7 linked regions of the Oryctolagus cuniculus genome follow. The protein of the gene in region 1 interacts with the protein of each later gene in a pairwise test. Links are inferred from orthologs where the notes say so. Each region holds a gene or a part of one and is shown in the gene's direction. Other genes may lie near its edges.

Region 1 (3,370 bases):
TCTGTCCCCCGCCCCTCCCACCTGCCAGCCCCCATTCCAGACGTGCAGCAGAATGGGGGTGGGGGTGGGAAGAAGAGTCTCCCCCACTTCCCCACAGCGCCCTCCGGGAAAAGAGGAACGTGGCGGGGGCCGTGGAGCGGACTTTGTGCAAGCTGCGGCCGGGCGTTGGAGGCCCGCGCCGAAGCGCGCAGGCTCCTGGGTTGAGGCGCCGGCAGATGGCCTGCCGCGCACGGCCCGGCCCCCGCGCCCGCCACGTCTGCCAGCGTCATCTCTCCCCCGCCTCCCACCCCTCAAAATCCTGCGGCCCAGCGTCTGGGGATCCCGGAGGGTTCCCTGGGCCAGACTAAGCGGGGAGGAGAAAGGGGCGGAGAGCGAGGGGAGAGGGAGGGCGACCGAGAGCCCCGACACCCCCGGCCTTTTCCGGCGAGCTCAACCGCCCCCGGGAGTCGAATTACAGGAGCTCCTCATTGCCATGCTAATGGCGAACCGGGGTTGGGGGGAGAGGGCTGCGGACTCCCTCTGTGGAAAAGGGAAGTTTCTTTTCTCGCCCTCGTGCGCTCCACGCCCACCTGGTTCCTCCCAGCCAGCCCTCCGCGCCCTTCCTTCGCCGTCCGGAGCTGGCAAAGCCAGCGGCCAGCCTCGCCCTGCGTCACCGTCTTCTGAGCGCCTCACAGCCCTACGGCCTCACGCAGGGACAGTGCGGCGGAGGCGCCCCGGGCGCCGGGGGCGTTTGGTCGCCGGATTCCCACCCTTCCGGCTCTGTACGCTCGGGGGCTCTGCCGCACTTGCGGCCACCCAGCGAGCTCCAGCCCACTGATTCCCGCCCCAGGAGAGCCGGGAGCCCTCTTCCCTTCTCACCTCTTGCCAGTTCCTCTTCCCGACGATGCTGGGAGGGGGCGGGGGGCGGGGGTGCCTCCCAGCCCCCACCTCCCGGAGGGGGAGGGCGCGCGGACTCGGGCGCGCGCAGAAGGCAGCCTCCGCTCCCCTTCGCCCCAGGGCTGTGAAGCTGCAGTTGCAGCCGCCGCAGCTTCTGCCGCCTCCTGAGCTGCCTGGGGGGGCGACTGCGCGTCACCTAGACGGAGGAGCGCCGGGGACTTAAATGCCACTGAAACGGTGATCCATCACCGCCGGAGCCGGCAAACTTTCGCAGGAGGCTCAGCCATTGGCTGGCCCAGTCACGTGCGCCTCCCCTGGCGCCCTCCGCCCTCGCGCCCCCCCTCTTGCGCACTGTACATTCATATCATTTTTCTTCTTCGGCCTCATGGAGGAAGTGAGAAAGTTGGCACGGTCACCCAGGGCTTCGCAGGACCCGGTCACTCAGTGACAGATGGACAATGCAAGGATGAGCTCTTTCCTGGAATACCCCATCCTTAGCAGTGGCGACTCGGGGACCTGCTCTGCGCGAACCTACTCCTCGGACCATGGGATTACAACTTTCCAGTCGTGCGCAGTCAGTGCCAACAGCTGCGGCGGCGACGACCGGTTCCTAGTGGGTAGGGGGGTGCAGATCAGCTCGCCCCACCACCACCACCACCACCACCATCACCACCACCATCCTCAGCCGGCCACTTACCAGACTTCTGGGAACCTGGGGGTGTCTTACTCCCACTCGAGTTGTGGTCCAAGCTACGGTGCGCAGAACTTCGGTGCGCCTTACAGTCCCTACGGGTTAAATCAGGAAGCAGACGTAAGTGGTGGGTACCCCCCGTGCGCTCCCGCTGTTTACTCTGGAAACCTCTCATCTCCCATGGTTCAGCATCACCACCACCACCAGGGTTATGCCGGGGGCACGGTGGGCTCGCCTCAGTACATTCACCACTCATACGGACAAGAGCACCAGAGCCTGGCCCTGGCCACGTATAATAATCCCCTGTCCCCTCTCCACGCCAGCCACCAAGAAGCCTGTCGCTCCCCCGCTTTGGAAACGTCTTCTCCAGCACAGACCTTTGACTGGATGAAAGTCAAAAGAAACCCTCCCAAAACAGGTCAGTTCTGCCGGCCAGTGGACGCGCCTTGATGAATCTGGAAGGAGTTGGTGTGCTTGGTTCCCAAGGAAAATTAAGAATGATTTTTCGAAAAAGGGGTTCTTGCTTCCAACTAGTGTTGTAGGGCATGGGGACGCTGCCCAGGTGTGTCGGGGCTCAGCAGTCTCTGTGTTTACAAAGGGGCTAGGGTCTAAATGTTCTGAAAATAGGAAGAGAGTGTGTGTGTGTGTGTGTGTGTGTGGCTGGGTGTTGGTGTTGGAGGCGTCCTGTTAATATCTCCAGGCTCCATTAATCACCAGCCTGACCACGCTAATGCTTGACTTCAGCTTAATGCCCCATTGCTCACCCTCCCCAACCCGCTTGAGAAGTTCTTGATTTTATCCTTTACCTGAAGGTTGCTCTGAAGAGTGTGGGGGGGGGGAGGGGGTCTCATCGATTTTTAACATTTTTTAACCTTTTCTTCTCTTGGCTCCTTACGCTACCCCAGGGAAAGTTGGCGAGTACGGCTACGTGGGTCAGCCCAACTCGGTGCGCACCAACTTCACCACCAAGCAGCTCACGGAGCTGGAGAAGGAGTTCCACTTCAACAAGTACCTGACGCGCGCGCGCAGGGTGGAGATCGCCGCGTCCCTGCAGCTCAATGAGACCCAGGTGAAGATCTGGTTCCAGAACCGCCGGATGAAGCAGAAGAAACGTGAGAAGGAGGGGCTCCTGCCCATCTCTCCAGCCACTCCCCCGGGAAGCGAAGAGAAGGCAGAGGAATCCTCCGAGAAGTCCAGTTCCTCGCCCTGCGTTCCTTCCCCGGGGTCTTCTACCTCCGACACTCTGCCTACCTCTCACTGAGGCCGCCCCGGCCCCCGCAGCCCAGCCTCCTTCTTGGACCAGGGCTTTTCCCCTAAAGCACATTCTTAGCTTATCTCGCTTTCCATTTACAGTCCCTCTCTTCCTTTCTGATCCTATCTGGAGAGCTCCTGGCCAGGACAATGGGTTTCCAGGGAATTCTGGACGGGAGACATCCAGATTGGGTGCCCACATCAGTTCGTGTGGGCTGCTGACATCTCTCCCTACTTGGAGGAGGTCTTCACAGACCTTGCTCCTTTCAGTTGCCCTTTGGAAAATAATTCCCTTTTGCCAGCAGAAACATGCCAGAGAGAGGCCTCGCTTCTTTTTATCTAACTGCGTATTCACAGTTCTTCCCTACCTTGCCCTTAAAAGTAGGATATATAGAGAGAGTTCAGGAGTCTATGAAGAAGAGGTGCACTAGGAGTGTGTTTACACAGTTCATTCATTCCTTAATTTAATTCAGTTTCCTGTGTGTGAGTTTGCTGGTTGTAAATACTTTGTCCTGAGAGATTTATCTTTATACAGATTTTCTAGAAATGTTT
Region 2 (4,383 bases), on another chromosome or scaffold:
CCTGGCAGCCTGTGTCGGGCTGGGTTCCTGCTCACGCCTGGACAACCCTCCACGTGGGGGTGTGCTACCCACTGGTTGACTGACCCTGGTGGGGTTGCTGCTACATTCCAGCGCTCTGAAGCCCGCAGCGCGGTGCTGCTATGAGCAGACTTTCGGTGAGTAGCTGTCGCCCGTCCAGTCTCTGGGGAGGGGCGGGTGTGTACCTTTCGCCCGTCCGGTCTCCCGGGGCGGGTGTGTACCTGTCGCCCGTCTAGTCTCCCGGGCGCATACCTGGGAGCGAACCTGCCTGGTAACATCTGGGGACACAGCCGGATGATGTTAGCAGCTGCAGCCTAGGAGGGCTGCGAGTTCTCCGCACCCTCGCCAACACTCGTGAACGCTTGGTTTTCAAGAATTCGGACTTCGGGCTTTCTTGCCCCAGCCCCTGGGCAGGTGGTAGGAATGCATCAGCCTGAGCCCCACCGGGTCAGTTGGGGGCGATCGGGGGGTCAAGCAGGGATGGGGAAGGGACGGGAAGACCCGACTGTTCCCTCTCGCAGCCTGCGGGGTGCCGGGAGCCCTGCACACGCGGCCCTTTCCCGTCTGGCCCAGCCCTGAGACGTGGGCAGCGCGAAGCCCCGCCCCTTCCTGGGAGTCGAACCCTCCCGGGCTCCGCCCCGGCCACGCCCTCCGCTGGGGGAGGGGTCGGAAGCCGAGTGGGGGGCGCGGGCGAGAGGAGGGTCGCGAAGGCGTTGGCACCGGAGCCTGGCGTCCCTGGCCCCCGAGTGCACCCTGTCCCTGCTTCGCGGGGGCCTGCCATTCATTTGGGGCCAAAAGGGACCTGCGCCCCCGCCCCCGACCTCGGCTTGGAGGGCTGAGCGCGGGGGCGGGGGAGGCCGTGCAGGAGCGCAGGGACCACCTGGCGGGAGATGGCGGGGCGGGGGGGGGGGTAGAAGGGAGAGATGGGCAGCTCTGCTCCCGGGACCCGGGAGCGTCTCGTGCCGGGGCGAGGGTCGGGGGCCCGGGGTGAAGTTTTGGGGACGTCTGGAGTGACGGTCTGGGGGCACAGAATACAATTCTGGGGGGGTCGAGTGAGGGGATGGAGGCCCCAGGGCTGGGTGGGGCCTCGGATCCTACCTTCGGGGAGGCTCAGAATGAGGGTCTGGGGGTGCGGGACTGAGCAGTGGGTGCGCAGAAAGGAATTCTGCGCGCGTAGGTAGCAGCCAGGTGCGCGGGATGACGTTTCTGATGAGGGCCTGCCCCCCCCCCCGAGTGAGTCTGGGGGCTTGGCATCCAGGTCCATGGCACCACGATCGAGCGCTGGGGGACCCTGGCCCGGCGCCGGGAGGCGGCTCCGGGAGGCGCCGCGGGGGACCGGGCGGGGGCCTGCGGCCGCCGGCCGGGGGCGGAGAAGCGGGGGGTCGGGGTCCCTCCCCCTGGCGCGGGCTCAGGAATCCGCCGAAGGGCGGGCGGAGGCGCCGGGGTGGGCCGCACCGCGGCGGGCGGGCGGGCGGGGGGCGCTTCCTGGGGCCGCGCGTCCAGGGAGCTGCGCCGTCCGCCCGTCCGTCCGCCCGCAGGCACTGTTGGAGCCGCCGGAGCCGCGGGGGCGTCGCGGCCGAGTGAGTGGCGGCCCGTGGGAGGGGGGCGCGGGCCGGAGTCTCGGCAGAGTCGGCGGCCGCCGGGCCGAGAGGCCCGCACCGCCAGGGAACCGGGCGGGGGCGGAGTGGGCCCGGAACCCGGGCCTACGAAACGAGTGGGCCCCGGGTCCTGCGGGGCTGCAGGGCCCCAGGCTCGGACCTGAGCCGGAGCTGGCGGGGCCGGGGCCCGGTGCGGGGGGATGGGGCGGCCGTGGCAGAGGCCCCTGACCCGCCCGCCCCCTCCCGGCCGCAGGATGCTCCCCTTCGCCTCCTGCCTCCCTGGGTCTCTGCTGCTCTGGGCGCTGCTGCTGCTGCTCTTGGGGGCAGCGTCACCGCAGGACTCCGAGGAACCGGACAGCTACACGGTGGGGACAGCGGGGGCGGGTGGCCTACCACTGGGAGACCAGGGTCCCCGGAGGCTGTTCTTGGGGGAGATTCGCCCCCCCAGCCCGGCCGGTAGAGCAGCTGGGGGCCGTTGTTTGGAACAGACTGGGAGGGTGGCCCAGGCTCAGGCCCTGCTATTGGCCTGGCCAGTTGGAGGGGACCCTGGGTGACCACTGCAGCCTCCGGTTTCCTTCCAGGAATGCACCGATGGCTATGAGTGGGACCCAGACAGCCAGCACTGCCGGGGTGAGTGTGACAGGGGGACCAGCCCCCCAGGAGCAGGGACCAGAGCCCAGGGGGCCTGTGCTCTACCCAGCCCAGCAGGGCAGGGCGGCCCCTCCCTCTCCAAGAACCCCGGTAACCCTGTCCCCCCCCCCCGGGGTAGATGGGAGAGCCACTGGGGGAGCCCCGGAGCAGCTGGTCCCATGGAAGGCTTTGCCCCATCGCAACCTGGGAGGGCGGTGTCCACGGGGGGGGGGGGGGCTGCAGATCACTGCCCGGCTGAGCCAGGGCCAGGACCCCCTTGGAGGCAGCGTGGGGGCAGCAGTGGCAACCCCTTCCCCACTTCCAGCCTGTGGCGGGGCCGTGTGGAGGGGAGGGGTCCTGGGTACACCAGGCTGCCTCAGCTTGTGGAGCTCAGGGAGGGCCAAGCGGGCTCCTGCCTCGCCCCCCCCGCCCCGCCCGGGGCCGGCCCCCCTCCCGGGACCGGCTGTGCCGAGCAGGCCGCCTCCCGCAGATGTGAATGAGTGCCTGACCATCCCCGAGGCCTGCAAGGGCGAGATGAAGTGCATCAATCACTACGGGGGCTACCTGTGTCTGCCGCGCTCCGCTTCCGTCATCAACGACCTGCACGGCGAGGGCCCCCCGCCGCCTGTGCCCCCCGCTCAGCACCCCAACTCCTGCCCGCCAGGCTATGAGCCCGACGAACAGGAGAGCTGCGTGGGTGAGTCCCTCTGGGCCCGGGCGTCCCATGCTGTCGCCACGCTTCTCGCAACTTGGGCTCGCGTTCTTGCGTTGCTCCAAGCCCTTACTGATGGCTCCTGGGGGCCACCAGGGGCTGCCCGGCCCCTCATCCAGGCCCTCGCTGTGTCCGGGGCCAGTCCCAGGGGACCCTCCCCTCACGTGCTGCAGAGACCCTGCAGGAGCCTTGATCTGGACTGCACCCCTGGAAGCCGCGGGCCCTGGCGGGGGGTGTCCTGGGATCAGGGTCGCTGGGGGCTGAGGGTGTGGACAGAGCCTTGTCTCCTGCTGCCTCCCAGGCTGGTGGGCGGGTGGGAGGGGTCTCCTGTGCCCTCGTGGTGGCTTCTGGACTGCGTCCTCCCACGCTGGGTGCCTGCCTCGCCGGATGGCGTGAGCGACCCCAGGCGGAGGCTCAGGGGTGTCTGCTGCAGATGTGGACGAGTGTGCGCAGGCCTTGCACGACTGTCGGCCCAGCCAGGACTGCCACAACCTGCCTGGCTCGTACGAGTGCACCTGCCCGGATGGCTACCGCAAGATCGGGCCGGAGTGTGTGGGTGAGTGCGGCCAGCAGCCTGTCTGTTCCTGAGCCCCCAACTCCAGCCCACCCCCGGGCGTCACCCCAGCCCCCGGCCCCCTCTGCCTTCCTGCCATCAGACACAGAGGACTGCATGGACACCGTGTGTGTGCGCATGCGCATGTGTGTGTGTGTGTGTGCCTGTGCGTGCGTGCGTCCTCTGGCTGGCTGGCCCCGTCCAGCTGCCCAGAGACATCCGGGTCTGTGGGCAGTGAGGCCTCGAGTGGGGGCCCCACTGACTGGCGCCTTCCGCGGCCTCCCTCCCCGCCGCCGTCGCAGACGTTGACGAGTGCCGCTACCGCTACTGCCAGCACCGCTGTGTGAACCTGCCCGGCTCTTTCCGCTGCCAGTGCGAACCGGGCTTCCAGCTGGGGCCCAACAACCGCTCCTGTGTGGGTGAGGCTGGGCCAGGCCGGGCTCCTGGGGCCCCCGGGGCTGGGAGGTATGAGCTGGGGGAGCGCCCTTGGCGGCCAGCCCAGACTGCCCCTCTGCTTTTGTCCCGGCACCCCCAGATGTGAACGAGTGCGACATGGGCGCCCCGTGTGAGCAGCGCTGCTTCAACTCCTACGGGACCTTCCTGTGTCGCTGCCACCAGGGCTACGAGCTGCACCGCGACGGCTTCTCCTGCAGCGGTGAGCTCAGCCCTGCGCGGGCTCCCCCAGCGGCGGCCAGGGTGCCCCCACGTCCCGTCCACTGTGGACGGACGCGCGCCCCTGCAGGGTGCTGCACCCCGGGCTGGCCACAGGGCACTCCCAGCCTGGGACGGAGGACAGAGAGGCTCAGGAGTGCTGGAACGGGGGTCAGGCCGCACAGGGGCAGTCGCTGGTCTGAGCCTGTTTCCCTGCCGTA
Region 3 (3,675 bases), on another chromosome or scaffold:
CAGCAAGTGGAAGATCTCTCTTTTTGTGTCTCCCTGTCTGTTACTCTACCTTTCAAATAAATAAATCTTTTTTTTAAAGGGAAGGGTCAATAGAGAAAAATATATAACCCTAAATGTTTCTAACAGACAAAAAGGAGGACCAGTCATTTCTGAACTAAATGTCCAAATTAAGAATATGCACAAAGAAAGTAGGAAGGAGGTAGAAATATATAAACACAGAAATTAATGAAATAAAAAACAGATACAATGGAAATGACCAAGGCAAAAGCTGATTCTTTAAAACAAATTTATAATAATTTATAGTAGGGCCTCCTTTGCTATGAGTGGCCAAAAAAAGAAATATAATGAAATAATATTAGGAATTAAAATGGAAATATAATAACTACCCAGCAGAAATTAGTAGGATGATAACACTGGGAACAGATTATGCCAATGAACATGGTGATTTAGACACTACACTTTGAGCGAATTCTTAAACAGGGAGAAAATAATAAAACTCATGCAAGAATAAATCAAAGGTCAAACTAGTTGTATGACTATCAAGCTGTATCAACAATGAATAACATTCGATTTCAGTTTGCCTGGACTTCCATAACAAAATACCAAAACCTGGGTAGCATACAACAGTTTATTATTTCACAGTTTCTGAGAACAGCAGTCCAAAAGCAACGGGTCAGTAGGGCCACACTTTCTCTATACTTTGACAACTCTAGGGGAGAATCCCTCCAGGCCTCTTCTAGCTTCTGGTAGTTGCCAGCAGCTCTTGGATTCTCTGGCCTGTAGACTTCACTCCAGTCACGTGGCTATCCTCTCTTTGTGTCTGCTTATTTTCCCTACAAGTGTCTGTATCTGTGTTCAAGTTTCCCTTTTTTATGAAAATACCAGTCATACTGGATGAAGTCTCACCCTAATGACCTCATCTGAAGAAAACAAAACAAAACAAAACAAAACAAACAAAAAAACAAGATTTATTTATTTATTTGAAAGTCAGAGAGAAGGAGAGGCAGAGAGAGAGAGGTCTTCCATCTGCTAGTTCACTCCCCAGCTGGCCATAATGGCCAGAGCTGCACTGATCCGAAGCCAGGAGCCAGGAGCTTCTTCTGAGTCTCCCATGTGCGTGCAGGGGCCCAAGGACTTGGGCTATCTTCTACTGCTTTCCCGGGCCTAGCAGAGAATTGGATCGGAAGTGGAACATCTGGGACTCAAACTGGCGCCCCTATGGGATTCTGGCACTGCAGGCAGCGGCTTTACCCGCTACGCCACAGTGCTAGCCCCAGTGACCTCATCTTAATGTAGTTAAATCTACAAATGTCATGTCCTGAGGTACTAGGAGTTAGAATTTCAACATATGTTTTGGAGAGACACAGTTCAACCCACAGAATTTTTCTACAGAGGCTGGCATTGTGGCATAGCAGGTAAAGCTGCCTCCTGCTGTGCGGGCATCCCATATGGGCACTGGTTGGTGTCTCTGACTTTCAAAACAAATGAATAAATCTTTAAAAACAAAATCTTTCTATAGATTCAAAACTGGACCCAGATGGTTTTATAGGCAAATTTTACAAAAAATTTCTTTTTTTTTAAAGATTGTATTTATTTATTTGAGAGGTAGAGTTAAAGACAGACAGAAAGGTCTTCTACCAGTGCTTCACTCCCCAAATGGCCACAACAGCCAGAGCTGGGCCAATCAGAAGCCAGGAGCTTCTTCCAGGTCTCCCATGCAGGTGCATGGGCCCACGTACTTAGGCCATCTTCTACTGCTTTCCCAGGCCATAGTAAAGTGCTGAACCAGAAAAGGAGCAGCTGGGATAGAACCAGTGCCCATATTGGATGCCAGCACCATAGGCAGAGGTTTTAGCCCATTACACCACAGCGCTGGCCCCATCTACAAAACACTTCAAGAGTAGATAATATGGGGCTGGCGATGTGGCACAGTGGGTTAACACCCTGGCCTGAAGCGCTGGCATCCCATATGGGTGCCAGTTCGAGTCCCAGCTGCTCCTCTTCAGATCCAGCTCTCTGCTATGGCCTGGGACAACAGTGGAAGATGGCCCAAGTCCTTGGGACCCTGCACCCACATGGGAGACCTTGAAGAAGCTCCTGGCTCCTGACTTCGGATCGGTGCAGCTCCGGCCATTGAGACTGTCTGGGAGTGAATCAACAGAAGGAAGACCTCTCTCTCTGTCTCTACCTCTCTCCATAACTCTGTCTTTCAAATAAGTAAATCTTAAAAAAAAAAAAAAAAGAGTAGATAATATGGGTATTCAGCTCCCATATAACTACTCAGAAATCTAAGAGGACAGTTTAACAGTGGAACTACAACTTGATGAGGATAGTTCAAGAATGTAAAGTTAGAGGTGAATCCTACTCACCCATGACCTAGGTGAATCCAACAACACTTAGAAACATAATGTTGGGTAAAGAATAACCAAGTCGCAAAAAGGACAACATACACCATTTTTATATAGTTAAAAAAAAAAACCTAAGGAGTACATCCCTCAGGACACATACATATGAAAACTATGGGGGGGGGGGGACAAAGGAAAGAGATATTAAGGATCATTATTAACTCAAAAAGGTTTAGCCCCCAGATCAAGTGTAATAGAGTTGGGGCAGGTCATGGGGCGACAGGTTGCATGGAGAAATAGCAGCTATGTCAGTGATGTCTTGGTTCTTAAGGTAAATTGGTACATTCACAAGTGTTCACTTTGTCACCCTTCATTATTTGCATTTATATTACAAACATTCATTCCTCTTTCTCAAATATTACATAAATTTTAAAAATGTGTTAAAAAGACACTGTTCCAGCCGGCGCCGCGGCTCACTAGGCTAATCCTCTGCCTTGCGGCACCGGCACACTGGGTTCTAGTCCCGGTTGCCCCTCTTCCAGGCCAACTCTCTCTGTGGCCAGGGAGTGCAGTGGAGGATGGCCCAGGTGCTTGGGCCCTGCACCCCATGGGAGACCAGGATAAGCACCTGGCTCCTGCCATCGGAACAGCGCGGTGCGGCGGCCATTAGAGGGTGAACCAATGGCAAAAGGAAGACCTTTCTCTCTCTGTCTCTCTCTCACTGTCCACTCTGCCTGTCAGAAAAAAGAAAAAAAAAAAAAAAAAAAAGAAAGACACTGTTCCATTGTTGTTCTCCATGTTGAGCATTGCTAAATCTGTCTGAGTTCTGTTGTAGGTGACTAGGGAGTTTGGGGTCTGATGGTTGGGATGTTTTTTTCTTTACTATTGTAATTTGAAATTATTGCCAGAATGTGTCCAGATGTAAGAAATATGTTCTTAGCAGTTATTCTAACAACTGGTTTGTAAGCATTTGGGCAGTCACCATGCAGCCAAGCTAAACAGTTTGAAGATGTGAACTTGTATGGTTTGGCCAAAAGTTTGAGGAAATGAGAATAGCTCTTTCCCTTCCCTTCCAAAAGGGTCAAGTTCACATATTTTTCATTATCAGAGAGGGAGGGGAAGGTAGATTTCTGGTGATGCAGCTCAGGTTCACTACCAATAATAGGTCTCTTGTGCCTCCTTTCTTTTGGTCCCCTTCAAGCCCGAGTCCTACGCTGGAGGAAGTCAATGCCTGGGCTCAGTCCTTCGACAACTTGATGGTCACCCCAGCAGGCAGAAACGCCTTCCGGGAGTTCCTCCGCACAGAATTCAGTGAGGAAAACATGCTTTT
Region 4 (4,312 bases), on another chromosome or scaffold:
TCGAAGCCAGGTACCAAACCCAGGTACTGTGATGGTGGGACCCAGTCATCCCCCCTGGTGTTTTAACAGCTATACCAGCACCTGTCCCAGATGGCTTTTTTTTTTTTTTTAAGATTTATTTATTTGAAAGTCAGAGTTACCTGAGTTACCTAGAGAGGGAAGGAGAGGCAGAGAGAGAGAGAGGTTTTCCATTGGTTGGTTCACTCCTCAGTGGCTGCATTGGCCAGACGTGTGCCAATCTGAAGCCAGGAGCTTCCTCTGGGTCGTCCCAGGCAGATGCAGGGGCTCAAGAACTTCAGCCATCCTCCCCTGCTTTCCCAGGCCATAGCAGAGAGCTGGATTGGAAGTTGAGAAGCTGGGTCTTGAACTGGCACCCATATAAGATGCAGGCACTGCAGGCAGCGGCCTTACCCACTATGCCACAGTGCTGCGTCCCTCAGGTTGCCTTTAGACATGCCTATAAGCAATTGTTTTCCTGTCTTTGAAGATGGCTTATTCAGAACTCTTGTCTAGGTGTCTATTGGTGTTCTCATATATTTTTCTTATTTGTGTGTTAATTTTTAAAGTAAACAAGGAAAGGAAATGCTTAGTGTGAAAGAAAACAGAGATCACTTTGTCTAAATCAGAAGGGCTGGAAATGCATCTGCCAAGGGATCAGGACTGCCGTGGTATTCATAATGTATTGCTACTATGCCTACACTTTCCAACTTGTACAATTCCTTTAGAAGGGTCAAGTTTGTATGTGAAGATTACCCAGGTTTCCATGGGTTGTTTCCGTTTGTTGCCATTGTTACAGGAGTCCAAGTTTCCTAAGATGAAGGGCGTTGAGAGAAAAGATGGGAGTACAGGGAGAACTTTTTGAGACATTAATTGAGATATCTCATCACAGTTGCATCTATTAATTATGAAACTGTGAAATTAATATTATATCCTACCTCAAATTTTAATGCATATGTGACATCAAATATTTAAAATATAAGAATTTTGTGTTTGCAATGCTTCACATGATTCAGTGGTCTTTTAAGCTCCTGATTTTGACTTTTTAAACTCTATAACATTTGACAAATTTGGTTTCCAAGCTTAATTAACTTGGAAAACCTATGAAGTCCCTTAGGTATGAAACTACCTAGCGAGTGTAAAATTTTATAATCATTGGAGGTTCCAGTTTCTTAAATATGGTACTATTTCAGGTATTCAGATTCAATGAATGCAGAACTTACAGTGAGTGGGAAGTCCCTATAGGAAGATCAGTAAGCTGTGGTGGAAAATAATATCTCATTTCAAAGACAACGGGATTTGAAAAGTTACTCTGCTATTTACTAGATATATAGGATTTCTCAAGAAAACTAAATATTTCATAATAGGAATTCTAACATGAGCAATGAACATCTGAAATCTCTCTGTCTTACACCTTGTAGGTGAAGTTTTCTTTTAAATCTTTGTGTCAATAGATGTAATTTTATTATAGACAATGAGTATGGGTTCACAAAGCAAATATTTACTTCCTTATATTGGGTCACATGGCCTTTTCATAGTACTGCTGATTGGTTATTGAATATACTGGTTAGAATTTAAGAGCTGTAGCATTGCAGTAAAACAGACACAACCCAAGGGGAATCATGACATACATGAAATGAGCAGGTAAGTGTTGACTTTGTTCTGCAGTGCTTCTCATTGGGAGTTACATTAGGAAAAATTCTTTTCTGAAAGCTGACAATACTTTATTTTCAATCTTGAACGTTTGGGGCTTATTTTGGGCAGTGATCTACTTTGGAGATTTTAAGAATCAGTTTTGTCTCTAAGAAGACCACTCCATGTCTCCTTTTTTCTCTCGATGGTTTTATGTTTTCAGGATTCAGTTAACCAAAATCAACAAATATTTGCCAGTCTGCTATGTGAGAAGCTGCAGTCCACAGGATTAATTAGACAATGTGAAAAAGCGTGTGGATAATTGCCCTTCAAAGAAAGAGACTTTTAAAGCAAAGAATGTAATTTGGTAGACAGAGATCAAGTTTTGGATTAAAATAACCAAAGGTTTTCTTCAATTCTTTGACCATTGGTCTCATTACCTTTAAAACCCAAAAGTGTTTAAGAATGAAATGAAGTTGTTTATAAAAATCCTTCATATATTGACAGTAACTATGCATGTTTTTGACACTATGTTGAGCTAAATAAAATAAATATAATAAACATTGTTTAGAGAATAAATACTTGAGATTTTAGTTAATTGCTGGTGTTTGTCTTAATGAATGGGTCCTTATTAATGTTGAAGTTGCTGTCCATGTGTTCTGTGTTATCCTTTCCTGAGTAGACGAAGAAACCAGTTAAATGAACATTCGTGAATGAATGTTTTTGAGTACCTGCTCTGTGTTAGGCTCTATGGTATGACTTTTGAATGCAATGGTCAATTAAACATGAACCCTTTCTATAAGGAGTTCACATATAAGCTTCTTCAACATATTATTACTTTGCTTTTATCTAGTTATGCTAACCTTAGAAGTCATAATTAAATACAACATTTCTCTAGGGTTTAGCAATTTAGGGGAATTAACCTCAAAATTTAGGAGCCTCTACCTCTCAAGTGCAAGCAGGCTGCAAAGCAGAGGCTCAGAGAAAGAAGGCAACAGGCAGTGGATCTGCTGGTGAGAGACTTAACAACCTCCATTAGAACATCAAAACAGCTAAAGACTGGAGGCTTAGGACTTTTGGGAAGTTACAAATTGGGAGAACCACACTTCACTGTCATTAATGTAAAGGGAATGTCTGCGTGCAACTGTACTGTGCTTTTCCTCTCACTTAAAGGCTTCCGTGGGTGGTGATCATAATATGAGTCAAGGCAGATGAAAATGGTGGTGGTAGGGCATGTGCAATGGAGACAGAAGAAGTCACAGCCATGCCCTTCCTTAGGGTTCATGTTTTGCTTCTGTGCTACTATCTTTCATAGTAATCTTGTGATAATACACTACACTGGCCAAAAGGCCTGGATACTCTTTTCAGATATATACATATATCTGATATATATATATATATATATACACACACACATATATATATAAAAAACTTGATTTTGGAAAGATGAACTCATCTTCAACATCAGCTTGTTGAAATCACTAGGGTGAATTCTAAACCCAGCAACTAGGTTTACTCTAATCCAGGAAGATTTAGTATCATTCATAGAATCTGAGTAAAGTCATCAAATCCTCCCTAACAATATGTTATGAATGTACATTTATGTTGCCTGTCTATGGTGATGAAAGACGTTGACATCAGGAATGAATTATCTTGAAGGTGTGCTAAACCCACATGTAAGCCACTAAATTTAACATGCTTGTCATTACACCTTTGACTGGGCTGTTAATGAATAACCATGTGAGCCACTTTGAGGTTTGAACCTGTTTCTTTTTCAATTTATTTCCTCTCAGCTCTACCGTATGGCATTTGTGACCTGTATGTTTAGTATGACCAAGACTTACCAGATAAAAACAAAGAAAAATGAGTGTCTCTTTTGAGGGTACTATGCTATGCAACACTATTTAAAAAATAATACAGTGATTTACATAATCTACAAACTGGTGTGACTGACTGAATGCTATATTGTGAAGTGTAGTAGTCAATACTCCACATGAATTGCAGTGTTAACATTTTTCCTAACTAGTGTTAGAATGAAGCTTGATATTTGATCTCCCTTTTTATTTTATCAACAGTATCAATAGAATTTGTAAATAGATATGTGAGAAGAAAGGAGTATAGATAGTTCTCATACAAAAATTGGTGTTTGTCATTATATTTATCTTAGAATATGTACATTTCTCCATAATTTATAATATATCATGAACTCATGTTCAATCTGTCAGGAAAAAAAAATCTCTGCTGTTTTATTCTCTTCTGGTAGTCATGGATTAACTGCCTTGCTTGTCATATCTGTGCTAGTTTATGAATAAATAATGTCTGTAATCTTGATTCAAGCCATTAGAGCCATGTTTTCTTCATCTGCTAATGTACAATAACGTCAGTTTTCACTGTTGAAATCTTTTTGATGAAATTACTTTTAAGTAATCTCCGGGTCTAATGACTCACCTGTATTTATATTAATTATGGATTTAGTTGAAAGTTATGCATGTATTACTTTTAAACCCCAAAGATAGAGAAGTCCTTTATACACTGCAGAGTTTAATATTTTGAAAAGATGATCTGTGTGGAACTGTATGCACGTATTTGTGTGTGATTCCTGTCTGTATTCATGGGGTGAGAGTGGGGAACTGCTGGCCTGCCTGCATAATCATTGGCAAATATTCAGGAGAAAAGGATGCGT
Region 5 (4,261 bases), on another chromosome or scaffold:
AGTTGGAGTATGCGGCGTGGTGCTGGCGCAGCTGGAGTGAGACCACGCAGTGTCAGGTGGCCATGAAAGGTATCCCAGGTATTCCAGAAAGCGAGGAGCACGCCCACCCTCCTCGCTTCCCTTACAGGGTTCTTGGGGGGGGGGGACGGAATCTATCTATATATATTACACACACACACACACACACACACTCACACTCTATAAACACTGACAGCCTCATAGTGCAGACAGTGACTGGCAGAGCCGCTGAGCTGGGTGCGGCCTGACAAAGCAGTGCCCTCACCCCGTATCCACTGCGTGTCCTCATCCGAGAGCTTCCTGTGTGCTAAGCCAGGAACTGAGTATGCCAGCAGCCCAGTGGACACACACCCTGAGAACAGAGCGCCTGAGTGGCTCGGCCAGGGCCCCCCAGGCTGAGACTCAAAGCCAGGCCCCGGAACCCCCACTCCAGATTCCCGAGGGACCTCCTGGGTGCCAGCACTGGGCTGGCCAGGATGCCTGCTTGCCTTAACCGTGAGCTGCTGGCAGGAGGGGCGCTGTCATTCACACAGCCCGGCACTGGGCACACCCGGGGTCTTGGGCCAGCCGGGCCGTGCCCTCCATCACTGCCCAAAGGAGCCGGCTGGGCGCTTCTGGCCGACCGCACGGCCCTGCACGTGGGCCAGGACCCGGCAATGAACCCAGCACGACCCCTTCCCCCCACTGCCTGGCCCCTCCTCAGGAGCTCACCTGCCCCGGGCCGGCCGGGAGTGGACAGGGGACACAGGGACCCTCGGCTCTCCGGCCAGGACCCAGCCCTGAACCCAGCACGACCCCTTCCCCCCACTGCCTGGCCCCTCCTCAGGAGCCCACCCTGCTGGCTGGGAGTGGACAGGGGACACAGGCACCCTCGGCCGCAGCGCCCCGCCCTGGGCCCTCCGGCCAGGACCCTCTGGCAGCGGGGCTCCCCCGGGGTCCGCTCTGGCTGGGGAGGGGCGCAGGGGCTGCCTTTTTGAATCCTGTTTTGTTTCCGGGCACCACGACGCCGAGATTTCTTGTGAGAAACCCATCGGCAGTCGTCCGCCTCACGGACTGGACCACGCCGGAGGACAAAGGGCCGGGGCTGTGTTCCGGCAAAACCCGTGGCGAAGTGGACGGAAGCGCTCGTCCGCGCCACGCATCACAAAAAACCGCTCCCCTCGTCACGCGCGGAAGGGGCCCAGCGCGGGTCTCGCCGTCGACGACGAGCGGGCGCGAGGCCCGAGTGCTTCGCCGCGCCGGCCCCACGCTCGGCCGCTCCCGCGCCCCACGGGCCGAGGGCGGGGCCGCGCCGGCGGGGCCGCGCCGGCGGGAGCGCGCGGCCCACGGCGCGGCGCGGAGGGCGGCGGCCGAGAGCGCGCGCGCCGGCCCACGCCCGCGCTCCCGGGAAGTCTCGCGATGCGCGGCCGGCTGCTCCCGCTGCGGGCGGCTCGGGCTGTTGCTGTGGTTGCCTGAGTTGCGGCGGCGGCGCCGGTGGAGGTGGCGGCGGCCGGGCGGATGTTGACACTGTGTTGTTGTTGCTGCGGACGGTAATGGCGGCGGCGGCCCGGACCCCTTCCCGTGTGTAGCCGGCGCCGACACAGCCGGGCGCGAACTCCGCGGCCTCTGGGCCGGCGGCGGCGGCGGCGGCGGCGACTCCCCTCAGCCCCCACCGCCGGGCCGCCCGCAGCGGGCGCCGGCCCCGGAGTCAGGCCCCCCTGGGCGGGGGGCGCGGAAGCGCAGGATGGCGGATTTCGACGAGATCTACGAGGAGGAGGAGGACGAGGAGCGGGCCCTGGAGGAGCAGCTGCTCAAGTACTCGCCGGACCCGGTGGTGGTCCGCGGCTCCGGTCACGTCACCGTGTAAGGCCCGAGGGGGCGGCGCGGCCGGCCCGGGGCCCGGGGAGGGGCGCGCGACCAGGAAGTGAGGGCTGGCCGGGTGTGGGCCGGCCGAGGGCGAGGAGCGGGGCCGGGCGCTGCCCTCCGTGCCCGCAGGCCCCGCCGAGAGGCCTGGGCCAGGTGCGGGGTCCCCGCAGGCGAGGCTGTTCTCGGGGTCGGGGCGGGGGTGGGTGGGGGCCTGCGCCTCGGGGAGGAAGTGCGGGTGCCTGGGTGCCTGGGAGCCTGCGCGCCCGGTGACACGGCCGGAGGCCGGGTGCGGGCCCTGGGAGACCCCGGGGTCCGCGCTGCGCGTGTGCGTGTCGCACCCGCGCCCGGCCGGCGTCGTGTCGGATGTCGGAGTACCCAGCGAAGAGCAGCAGGATCGCGCGTGTTCGCGATGCACTTTGCAGGCATCTGCGCGGGGTCACCCGGTGCGGGCGAGCCGAGAGTTCCTGGCCCCCGGGGCGTGCACCCCGCGCCGGGGTCTGCGTTTGCTGAGTCCCGTGAGCGCTGCCGTCGACGCTGGAAGTCCGGAACGAGAGGGCTTTCCGAAAGGTCGTGGCTGATAAGGGAATGTGGAGCCTGGAACCGAATCCTGCGCCAGCCGGAAGCAGGAAGTCGGGAGTTTGGTGCAACTTGGAGCGGCCCGCTCTGTCGGGGAGGTCAGGGAGCGGCTGCCCCTGACCGGGGCGAGACGGCCCGCAGCAGCCTCCCTGTGTCCGGCTGGAAGGTGCGTGGGCCGTGCCCTGGAGGACTTAGGAGCCCGCGCTTCTCCACGCCTGAGCCCGCAGCCACGTTGCCGAGCGCCGGGCAGCTGAGTAAGGCGCTGGATCCTGGAGCACCTGGCGGGTTAGGTCCAGGTGACGCGGGTGGCGCTGTCCCCGCGGGTTTCACTGTCGTCACCCGCCCAGGTGGGGATGCCGTCGGATCTCGCCGAGGTGAAGCAGCAGCGGCCATCGCTGGCTGTCAGGCTCGGAACCTGTGGTCTAGTTTGACTCCTAGGGCCTTTCGCACTGTCCTGAACCCAAGAGTGTAGGAGTGCTGCGACAGGGATTCCCAGGCTGCCCACGCGTTCCTGCAGGTGTGTGGCACAGCAGGGTCTCCTGCCCGAGTGCAGGGGAGTCCCAGCTGCCTCCCCCCCCCCCCCCCCCCAGCTCCCAGCCTGGGAAAGCGGCAGAGGATGACCCACCCGCCTGGGAGACCTGGATAGACTTCCAGGTCCCTGGGCTCCGCCTCGCCCTCCTCCCGCCATTGAGGCCATTCAGGGAGTGAGCCAGTGGATGGAAGGTCTCTCTCTCTCTCTCTCTCTCTGCCTCTCTGCCTCTCAAATAAACAAACGTTTAAAAAGTCGGCAGGATTTTGTTTAGTAAGGTGCAGGTGTGGTTGTAATGTTTGTTCCCGTCTAAGGAGAAGGAAGGCTGAGCACCCCGTGGGCGAGCAGTGAACTTGACTGTAGTTGGCTGCTTAGTGAGGTTACAGGTAGAGAAGAACTGTCACTCAAGGTTTCCAACTCAGATGCCCTTAGAAGAAGCTGGGGAGCTTTGGAGACCTACTCAGGCCTTGGCCGCGGTTGAAGACCAGGTGTGTTAGGGTCCCAGCAGAACGCCACGCGCCGGTCTCAGGTGGGACCGCATTGAAAGCGCCGTTGTGGATGTCCGGCGCTCTGCCTCCGGTCGACACCACGCCTGTCTGCCCTGGACTGCGTGTCTGGGCTTTCCTCAGCCACCCCCCACCCCAGCCACCTTGGTTCCAGGCTCTGGGGGGTCTCTGCCCACCTCCCCCCACCTTTTTTTTTTTTAATTAGTGTATATAAATGTTTTTGTAGAAACTTGAATCTGTTCTTGTCTTTGTTTGAAAGGTAGAGACAATGATCTCCCATCTGCTAGTTCACTCCCCAGATGCCACCAATAGCCAGAGCCCGGCTGGGCTGAGCTGAAGCCAGGAGCTGGGGCCTCACTCTGAGGTTTGCTCATGGGTGGCAGGGACCCAGGTACCTGAGCCATCACCTGCCACCTCCCAGGGTGTGCGTTACCAGGGAGCTGGAACGGGCAGAACTGGCATTCGAACGCAGGCGCACTGGAGGGATGGCACGTGTCCCAGTGGGGTCCTAACTGCTGTGGGAAACACCCGCCCTGCCTCTGCTGCTGCTTGAGCCAGTTACCTCTGCCTCTTCCATCAGAGGGGGACGTCGCGGTCTCCCCTTTTAAAACGCTTCCTGGCATTTTTATTGTTTGAAAGGCAGAGCCAGAGAGCAGGCTGTCCGTCTTCCATCTGCTGTTTCTCTCCCCGGCGCCCACCATAACCAAGGATGGGCCAGACAGAAACGGGAGCTGGGGGCTCAGCCGGGGTCTCCCACGTGGCCCTCAGCCGTCCCTGGCTGCCTCCC
Region 6 (3,675 bases), on another chromosome or scaffold:
TCACAGAGACGTGCCACAGGCTCACCCTGCAACAGCACCCTCCAGCCATCGTATGGTTGGGTTTGTGAGTGCCTTGAGCATAAGTACACTTCATACTCATGTCTGTATTCCTAGTGCCCGGAAAGGCCTGCGGTGTGCAGCACGGCTCTGGGGAATGTTTGCTGAATGACTAACTGTGTGAACTTAAAATTGAAGTGCCATGGGACAGGGTGCAGGATGGATTGGTTCCCCGTGGAGTGTGACTGCAGACGCTTTCTTGAAAGGGAGAGGCGAAAAGACAGGAGAGGGAACAGCGCTGACCACGAGAGAGACAAAGGCTGCTATGCAGGACCACGGGTGTGCAAGAGGGCCCCCATGAGGGAACACTTTGCCGATTTCCCACTGCTGTCTGAGGCTGGATTCTGGGTGAATGAGGCAAGGCAGCATGTAGAAGGGGTCATCAGTAATGTACTTCTGTCTTCCACCACTGCAAAAGCCCACCTTCCTGCAGGAAAAACAGGGCCCTGGCCTAGATGACTTTGCCTCTTCTCAAGTCCAGCCTGCAGACAGGGCAAGTGTGGCAGGAACCAGAGGGATTGCCTTCACCAGCTGGGGCTAGGTCAGGGAGGACGGCTCCTGACACCTGGGGGAGGTGAGAGGGAGGGGCGTTCTGAGGGAGGCCACGTTCAGCCCAGCTGGGGGTGCCTGCCCTCCGTCCACTCACTCCCTCGGAGGCCAGTGCCGTTTAAGGGTTTGCTGTGGCTTTGGCATCTGGGGAGAGGAAGCTTCTAACAGTAAGCAACTTGGTTGTTTTGCAGTCCGATATGAAATCGATAATGACCTCATGGAGTTCAACATTCTGAAAAACAGTTTTAAAGCGGATAAGGAGGCAAAGCGGAAAGAGATCAGAAGCGGGTTTCTGAAGCTGCGCAGCATTCTGCAGGAGAAAGAGAAGAGCATCATGGAGCAGATCGAGAATCTAGAAGTGTCCAGGCAGAAGGAGATCGAGAAGTACGTCCACGTCACCACCCTGAAGGTGAACGAGATGGATGGCCTGATAGCCTACTCCAAGGAAGCCCTGAAGGAGACGGGCCAAGTGGCCTTCTTACAGTCGGCCAAGATCCTGGTGGACCAGATCGAGGACGGCATCCAGAGCACCTACCGGCCCGACCCACACCTGCGGCTGCACTCCATGCACTGCATGCCCTTGGACTTCGCCGAGCTCTCCAGCGCCATTCACGAGCTCTTCCCCACGGGACCCAAGAAGGTGTGTTCCTCCGGAGACTCACTGCCCACCCCCTACCCCATGCACTCGGAGATGATGATCGCCAGGAAGGTCACGTTCAGCACCCACAGCTTCGGCAACCAACAGATATACCAGCGGAGCTCCTCCTTGCTGTCCTTCAGCGCCGCTGGTGAGAAGGCCAAGGGGGGTCTGGAGGCCTACGGGAGGACCCAGTCGGCCGCGCCTGCCAAGCCCCCCGATGGGCTGTACACCTACTGGAGTGCCACAGCCGACAGCCAGCCTGCACAGAACTGCAACAGCTTCCACAACTGGTACTCGTTCAACGACACCTCTGTGAAAACCCCAGGCCCAATTGTTATCTACCAGACTCTGGTGTATCCAAGAGCCGCTAAGGTAAAAAAAAAAAAAAAAAAAAAAAAAAGGCTCTGGGCCCTGTGGGGAAGGTGGGAGGTTGTGGGGTCCAGAGTGGAGGTGGGTAAGCAGGGGAGGTTGTTTGACCTCTGGGTTCTGGCTACTCAGACCTGCTTCTCTCGTGTCTTTGGGGGTCAGCCTGTTCAAAAGGATTGAGTTCTGAAATCTTAAATAACCCAAGGTTGGCTTAAACCAAAGAGTCAAGGTATATTTAAAGCATGGCCGGAAATAAAACTGAGAGCCTGACCCCCACTCCCAGGCAGTTTCTCTACTGACAGAGAACTCCTGTTGGGAACCAGAGTAGTTTAAGGCGACGGCTGGCAGAAGGTGGTATTACCTGAGGGATGGTCTGTTACAGGGCACAGAAATGGGAATCAGGAATGCAGGCCCCTTTGCCCATGAACTTGGGTATTTCAAATTGGCTGCCTTTCCTAAAGAAACTATCATTGTTGTTATTGATTATTCTTATTAGAAGAATACTGGATATTCCAATATTGAAAAATCTAATAATCTTATTGGAAGAATAATCACCAACGGAATGCCAGTTCTTATCTCCTGAGATCTATCCTTGTTTGCAGAGCGGGGGTGGGGCTAGAGAGTGGGGTGTCTCACAGATCTCTACAACTGCCACCAGTGGGCCTCATGGGAATGACACCCTCAACCCAACATGGACAAGCGTCACGTGCCTTTCAAATATGCTTGTAGGATACTTTATTAAGCCCCATGGAAGCAAGAGATGAATATGTGACTCAGTACTGGACAGAGGTGTATCTTGCCTCCTCCTGAGCTTCATCACAGGCACCTCCCAGGCCAGCCTGTGTGGCTGAGCCCATCTCTTGCCCAATTCTCTGAGATACTCTCAAAGACTCTGGGCTTCCTTGACATCTGAACCAAGGCTTCTCAACACTCCCGTGTGCCCGGGGATGTTGTTAAAGCACAGACTCTGCTTCACTGGTTGCAGGGGGGCCTGACACATACCACTGTGTTTCTCACAAGCGTCCAGGTGTTGCCACTGCTGCCATCTGCAGCCCATACTGCAATATTGGGTTATCTAAATGGAGGAAAGTGAAGGTCTGCCACAGACCAGGCATCAATAAATAAAACATGTATTATGAAAAAGCGATGCATGGATTTCAAAATACTTTGCAACAGAATAGACATCTTTCATTCCATTTTCCATGAAGTTTTTGAAATTCCATTGTGAGTTTCAACACGCAGATTATGATGTCTCAGAAGTACGGAAAAGTACAAGGGGACTTCAAACAGAGAAATGAGAAGATTGAAGTTTATTTTGCTGCAAAAAAATTTGAAATCTGTGCAGTTTTTTCATAATGTCCATTTCCCATGGAGGTTTTGAAGACCTCTCGGATGACTGACACTAAGAATGACCACATTATGTAACATTATGTAACATGGCCTCCCATGGCCTAGAGACATGGTAGTCCCCACCCTTCACAGGAGGGACGCCCATCACTCAGCAGCCGAACTCATCTCCAAGGGCTACTGCATGAGCAAGACCTACAGTGTATGCGCCATTGGGTAGGCAGTGGGTGTCACCTGCACATTCACTCAGACCTCTTGCAAAATTGGCAGGAGTTTAGCCTGCGGTGTAAGTACTGGTGGTCCCTGCTCCATAACTGGGCTTGGGGAACAGTCACCCCACGCCACCTATTGGTCATCCCCAGGGAAGCTCCAGAAATGGGCTTCCATAGAACAACCAGGCAAGGGTGGCAGTGGAGAGAGAGATCACCTAAACCTGCCACCAGACAATGGCAGTCCTTGTGAAGCCATCACTGATCCGTATTTTAGGGCCACAGAATGGACTTTGCACAGGCATCATAGTGTTGTGTCACACAGGAGATTAAATCTCTGTTAACATCTCTGTCAAATCTTTAGAACATTGGCATCAGAAATATTCTTTTTTTTTAACTTTTATTTAATGAATATAAATTTCCAAAGTACAGCTTATGGATTGCAATGGCTCCCCCCTCCATAACTTCCCTCCCACCCGCAACCCTCCCCTTTCCCTCTCCATCCCC
Region 7 (4,267 bases), on another chromosome or scaffold:
CGTTCTTGGGCCTTTGCTTCCCATATAGGAGACATGGATGGAGTTCCAGGCTCTTGCCTTCAGCCTAGCCTACCCCCAGCTGTTTCCATGAATTGGGAGGTGAACCAGTGGGTGGAATATCTCTTTCTCCTTAGGTTTCTCCCTCTTCCTTTTACTTTGCTTTCAAATAAAAAAATTAATAAAAAGCTGCACAAAGAGAGTCCAATGACACATAGATAACGTGCAAGGCTGGCAGTAGTGGAATGCATTAGGTCACGACCCAGAATGCTGTTGTTCATTCTAGAAGGCGAAGACAGCTCCAACCAGCTGTGCAACCCCAGATTGTCAGAGCTCAGGCTGAAAGCCTCTGCCAGTGACTTGCTTCATTGTGGTTTCCAAACTTCACACTCTGCTCCCTCTGCCCTGGACCCATGTTGTAATTGTTCCATACTTAATTAGGATGAGGAATTATAGGGGCAGGTTCAGCTGGAATAATTTTGGGTACAAAAATACTATCCTTCTGGAGGGAGCATAAGTGTGTGTGGGTGCTGGAGGCAGGCCGACTAACCCTCAGCTCTCAGCATGCTGTGAGCGAGAGAGTTAGTGTTGTTGCTGCAACTCTGCTGTGCTGAAATACACGCACAGTCATTCTCACATGTATATGCATCTGCGTGTCTGTGTACGTTCTCTTATTTTCTCCTGATAGCATTATTTAAACTTCATTTTATGTAATTTATGTAGATGCTCACTTCAGTTTAATATTTTGGATATAGTGTTCCAGAGCCAGCTTTAATTCCCTGGTGAATAATTTCTTTTGAATTAAATTATGTGAATTTTACATGGTGTTGTTTTGCAAACCAGAGAAATTTTATACAGTATTTTATCCTATGTAAGTACTGTAGTATTCCTCAAAGTTTACAAAATTAAAGATAGAATTAAATGGAAAATTTGATATGATTTATCTGTTCATCTATCTGTTCTGTCTAGCTTATCTTCTTGGATTTAACTATCATCCATTTATCTATCATTCATTTGTTTTTCATCTATCTACAATCATTTATCATTCATTTATATCCTTATCAATTATCGATCTAGTCTGCTCCTCATCTATCTACAATCATTTATCTATCATCTGTGTGCATCTAATCTATCTTCTTTCACGTACCTATGTATCTATTAACCATTTATCAATTACCTGTAAATCATCTATCCATCTTCCACTCATTATCTGTGTATCTCCCTTCCTACCTGCCTACTCATTTATCACCTGCCTTTCTACGCATCCACCCTTCTACCCATGTGTCCTAGCTATGTCTAGTCTGCTATTCGCCCTTTTCCGTGTGGGTAGGCGCCCTGCTCATCCCGCTCAGCGAGAGCTAGGCCGGATCCCGGCGTCCGCGGCCTGGGAGCTGTCCAGCGGTTCCTGGCTAAGTTCTGCTCTCAGCACCAGGGAAGCTCTCCAGCGCCCCGCCCTGGGCAGGGGGCCTCTCCGCGAAGGCTCGCCGGGCTTCCCAGTGGTGCCACTGGCCCCCGCCTCGCTCTCTCTTTACTGGGTCTCACCGCCTCGGGCTTCTGCGCTCTCCCCGGAGAAGGTGCCGCGCCCGGGCCGCCCCGGAGCAGAACGCAAGAGCGGTGGACTCCCCGCCCTGGCCGGGGCGGGGAGGGGGGGCACCGCGCATTCTAGCCGCGCCCCTGCGGCTGGTGGCCGGGCCTGTCTGCATGGCTTATGACGCGCAGCCGGAGCGGAGGGTGAGAGCAAGGACCGGCCGGCAACTTGGCACCTAGGGTGTCGATCTACGATCGGAAAGGACCTGGCGTGGCCCGGTCGGCGGGGGCGGGGGGCGGAGGGCGGAGGCTGCCGCGGTTTTGGGCTCGCTGGGCCGGCTCGGAATCCAGGAGCCCGCGCTGGGGAGGATGCACAGCCGGGCCCCCAGCTGTCCTCCCCACCCCTGGCCTCCCGCCTCCTCTCCCCGGGAGTCGGGTCCAGGGCTCCGCGCTCTCTCCATTGTCTCTGCCTCTACTGCAGGTTCGCGCGGCGGCGAAGACGCGCGGTGAGGCCGCCCTCGCCCGGCTCTCTGGGGCGCATCCCTCGCCGCCCAGCGAGCTTTGGGCAGCTTTCACCCGGCTGGGGAGCGAATTCGCCCGCAAGCCCGACCTCCCGAGACCCCTCCCCACCCCCCTCCCAACCGGCGCCGGCGCTGGCGCTGGCGGTGGCGCTGCGTGGGAGCGGCTGTGCGCATTGGAGGGTCCAAGTTCTCCGCGCGCCGGGGGCCTCCCTTTCCTTTCTTAGGCGGCCCAATCGTGTTAATCCCGCTAAACAGTGGATGCGAGGCAGCAGCAGGGGGGCGACGCTTTTCCCGCTGGATTCCGGGAACCTCTTCGGCGTTTCTTTTCTGTTCCAGAGGGAGGCGATGGACTGAGCGGAGCCGCGCCATGGAGTCTCGGGGCTTGCTGAGGACCCTCTGTTGGCTCTGCGCTCTTGGAGCAGGTGCGTGCCGGCCCCGCCGCCGACCGGTTCGGTTCCGGGTGGGGGCTTGGAGCAGGGGCGGGGCAGGTCCGCGTTTTCGGTGCCTGCCCTGGAGATGGCGACGCGGGTCGCGCCCTAGCCCGGGTCTGCGGCCCGGGAACTTTGCGCGGAGCGGGCTGTGCGCTGGGTCTGCGAGATGGGGCCGCGGGCTCGGCTGCTCCCGGCGTGGCTGCTGCTCGCAGGTAGGCGCTGGGCGGCGAGCAGCCGCTCCGAGTCCTGCATCCGGGCGTGCGGCTCCTCTCTTGATGCAGCCTTTTCCTTCTTCCCTCCCCTTCCCCACTCCAGCAGTGTGGGGGCTTGGTGTGGATCCCTCGCTGCAGATTGATGTCCTGACGGAGTTGGAACTGGGGGAGTCCACGGCCGGAGTGCGCCAGGTCCCGGGGCTGCACAATGGGACCAAAGCCTTCCTCTTTCAAGGTAGGGTCGGGCGCTGCGAGCGGGGTCTGGGGAGGGGGCCGGCCTCCGGCTGGCGCTGGTGGGCAGGGGCAGAGGGGTGCAGTCCTGGCTCTGGTGAGGGGGGAGTCGCTGGGCCCTCGCGCCCGGCTCCTACCTCGGTACGCCTAGTGCTGGGGCCAGTGGACAGTCTCTTCAGGACCGGGCGGGAACTCCGTTGGCAGACGTGGGCTTTAGAGCCTGGGGAACAATGGATCGTCGCCGAGAGCCGCGCCGAAGCTGCGGGGGAAGGTAGCGACCCCTGGAAGTTTCAGGTGCGGCGGCGCCCGCGGGCGGGCCGCGCGCCCTGGGTGAGGCCGGGCTCCCGGGCGCGCCATCCTCCTCCTCCGGGTCCTCCGCCGTCTCCCGGAGAGGGAACAGCATGCGCGCAGCGTTACTTTGAGAATCTTTCAAGGAGATGTTAATTTAGGAGTCTCGCTTCTCCCACCCTTGGTTTCGAGTCAGGACTCCAAAACTTGGTTTTGGCCATCAGCTGCGCGCTGTTGTCTAATTTCAAATCGCATTAGGTGTGTATGCAGTCAGTGGCAAATTGGGGCCGCACGGGCGCTCATCATCAGTTTACCAAGGGTTCTGGACTGCTGAATCTGAGCTTCCACCAGGCAGCCAGAGGGCCGTAGGAAGAGGAGCTTCCCAGGGCAGCAGCACAGAGGAAGGCCACGAGAAGCGGAGTTGGGACTCACGCCCGGCGGGTACAGCGTGGGGGCCCACTCACCCAGGTGTTGCTTCTGCGGCTTTGCTTTTGCGGCTTCCCAGGAAGCCGGCTCCTGGTTAGGGAGAGTGGGTGTGCGAAGTAAGGCCCCTGGAGGCAGGCCTGCCGCCAGGAGGAGAGGCAGCCGCCAGTGCTGCTGTTGCCTGCCGCCGCCAGAGTGTGTCACCCCAGCAGCAGCAACTGCTGTGTGTGGCGCTTACCGAGGAAGAGATTACAATGTCAATTTTGTGTTTCCAAAACTTACTTAATGAATGTTTGCATGTGGCATTTGCGATGCCAGTATCTAGTTCAGGGTCTTCTTTGGGAGGGTCGAGCTTGAAGAAAAGTGACCACACCTAATACAGGAAATAAGCCTGGACTTGCAGCAGGATATCAGATGAGCAGAAGTGTCCCTACGGCTAAGCGTTTGTTTTCTGTTGCGTGTTGATTTGTTTTTATCTCTGACTTTTAACCTCTGTGAACTGGAAACAACATGATTCAGGACTACCAGTGTGAGAAGCTGTGATGCTCACGCCCCTGATGACCAGGTGTGTTCCCTGCAGAGAGCCTGGACTCTTGGGACCAGAAACCCCAGGGCTGTGTCTTCCGTGCTAGACAGT

The links.
Region 2: the proteins of HOXA1 (region 1) and EFEMP2 interact in a two-hybrid assay, tested with the Homo sapiens proteins (2 studies listed by BioGRID and IntAct). The link is inferred for Oryctolagus cuniculus from reciprocal best matches to the Homo sapiens genes HOXA1 and EFEMP2.
Region 3: the proteins of HOXA1 (region 1) and RGS20 interact in binary tests that used the Homo sapiens proteins (3 or more experiments, as listed by UniProt). The two-hybrid records come from large-scale screens. The link is inferred for Oryctolagus cuniculus from reciprocal best matches to the Homo sapiens genes HOXA1 and RGS20.
Region 4: the proteins of HOXA1 (region 1) and RGS17 interact in binary tests that used the Homo sapiens proteins (3 or more experiments, as listed by UniProt). The two-hybrid records come from large-scale screens. The link is inferred for Oryctolagus cuniculus from reciprocal best matches to the Homo sapiens genes HOXA1 and RGS17.
Region 5: the proteins of HOXA1 (region 1) and CHIC2 interact in binary tests that used the Homo sapiens proteins (3 or more experiments, as listed by UniProt). The two-hybrid records come from large-scale screens. The link is inferred for Oryctolagus cuniculus from reciprocal best matches to the Homo sapiens genes HOXA1 and CHIC2.
Region 6: the proteins of HOXA1 (region 1) and TRIM42 interact in binary tests that used the Homo sapiens proteins (3 or more experiments, as listed by UniProt). The two-hybrid records come from large-scale screens. The link is inferred for Oryctolagus cuniculus from reciprocal best matches to the Homo sapiens genes HOXA1 and TRIM42.
Region 7: the proteins of HOXA1 (region 1) and NELL2 interact in binary tests that used the Homo sapiens proteins (3 or more experiments, as listed by UniProt). The link is inferred for Oryctolagus cuniculus from reciprocal best matches to the Homo sapiens genes HOXA1 and NELL2.

The regions. Positions count from the first base shown.
Region 1 is NC_091447.1:18,724,264-18,727,633, reverse strand, and holds HOXA1 (homeobox protein Hox-A1), read left to right. Parts: upstream 1-1,327; coding exon 1,328-1,985; intron 1,986-2,472; coding exon 2,473-2,828; downstream 2,829-3,370. UniProt on the Homo sapiens protein: Sequence-specific transcription factor. Regulates multiple developmental processes including brainstem, inner and outer ear, abducens nerve and cardiovascular development and morphogenesis as well as cognition and behavior.
Region 2 is NC_091432.1:5,896,466-5,900,848, forward strand, and holds the start of EFEMP2 (EGF-containing fibulin-like extracellular matrix protein 2), read left to right. Parts: upstream 1-1,426; 5' UTR 1,427-1,598; intron 1,599-1,869; 5' UTR 1,870-1,870; coding exon 1,871-1,981; intron 1,982-2,197; coding exon 2,198-2,246; intron 2,247-2,736; coding exon 2,737-2,943; intron 2,944-3,391; coding exon 3,392-3,514; intron 3,515-3,813; coding exon 3,814-3,930; intron 3,931-4,046; coding exon 4,047-4,166; intron 4,167-4,383. UniProt on the Homo sapiens protein: Plays a crucial role in elastic fiber formation in tissue, and in the formation of ultrastructural connections between elastic laminae and smooth muscle cells in the aorta, therefore participates in terminal differentiation and maturation of smooth muscle cell (SMC) and in the mechanical properties and wall integrity maintenance of the aorta.
Region 3 is NC_091437.1:78,796,764-78,800,438, forward strand, and holds part of RGS20 (regulator of G-protein signaling 20), read left to right. Parts: intron 1-3,546; coding exon 3,547-3,675. UniProt on the Homo sapiens protein: Inhibits signal transduction by increasing the GTPase activity of G protein alpha subunits thereby driving them into their inactive GDP-bound form.
Region 4 is NC_091436.1:14,661,819-14,666,130, forward strand, and holds the start of RGS17 (regulator of G-protein signaling 17), read left to right. Parts: upstream 1-1,466; 5' UTR 1,467-1,633; coding exon 1,634-1,641; intron 1,642-4,312. UniProt on the Homo sapiens protein: Regulates G protein-coupled receptor signaling cascades, including signaling via muscarinic acetylcholine receptor CHRM2 and dopamine receptor DRD2.
Region 5 is NC_091439.1:110,032,826-110,037,086, forward strand, and holds the start of CHIC2 (cysteine-rich hydrophobic domain-containing protein 2), read left to right. Parts: upstream 1-1,424; 5' UTR 1,425-1,515; coding exon of another isoform or gene 1,516-1,547; 5' UTR 1,548-1,741; coding exon 1,742-1,860; intron 1,861-4,261.
Region 6 is NC_091435.1:141,098,054-141,101,728, reverse strand, and holds part of TRIM42 (tripartite motif-containing protein 42), read left to right. Parts: intron 1-797; coding exon 798-1,618; intron 1,619-3,675.
Region 7 is NC_091440.1:135,861,085-135,865,351, reverse strand, and holds the start of NELL2 (protein kinase C-binding protein NELL2), read left to right. Parts: upstream 1-1,363; 5' UTR 1,364-1,705; coding exon 1,706-1,728; intron 1,729-1,891; exon of another isoform or gene 1,892-2,005; intron 2,006-2,011; exon of another isoform or gene 2,012-2,030; intron 2,031-2,046; exon of another isoform or gene 2,047-2,381; coding exon 2,382-2,467; intron 2,468-2,791; coding exon 2,792-2,923; intron 2,924-4,267. UniProt on the Homo sapiens protein: Plays multiple roles in neural tissues, regulates neuronal proliferation, survival, differentiation, polarization, as well as axon guidance and synaptic functions.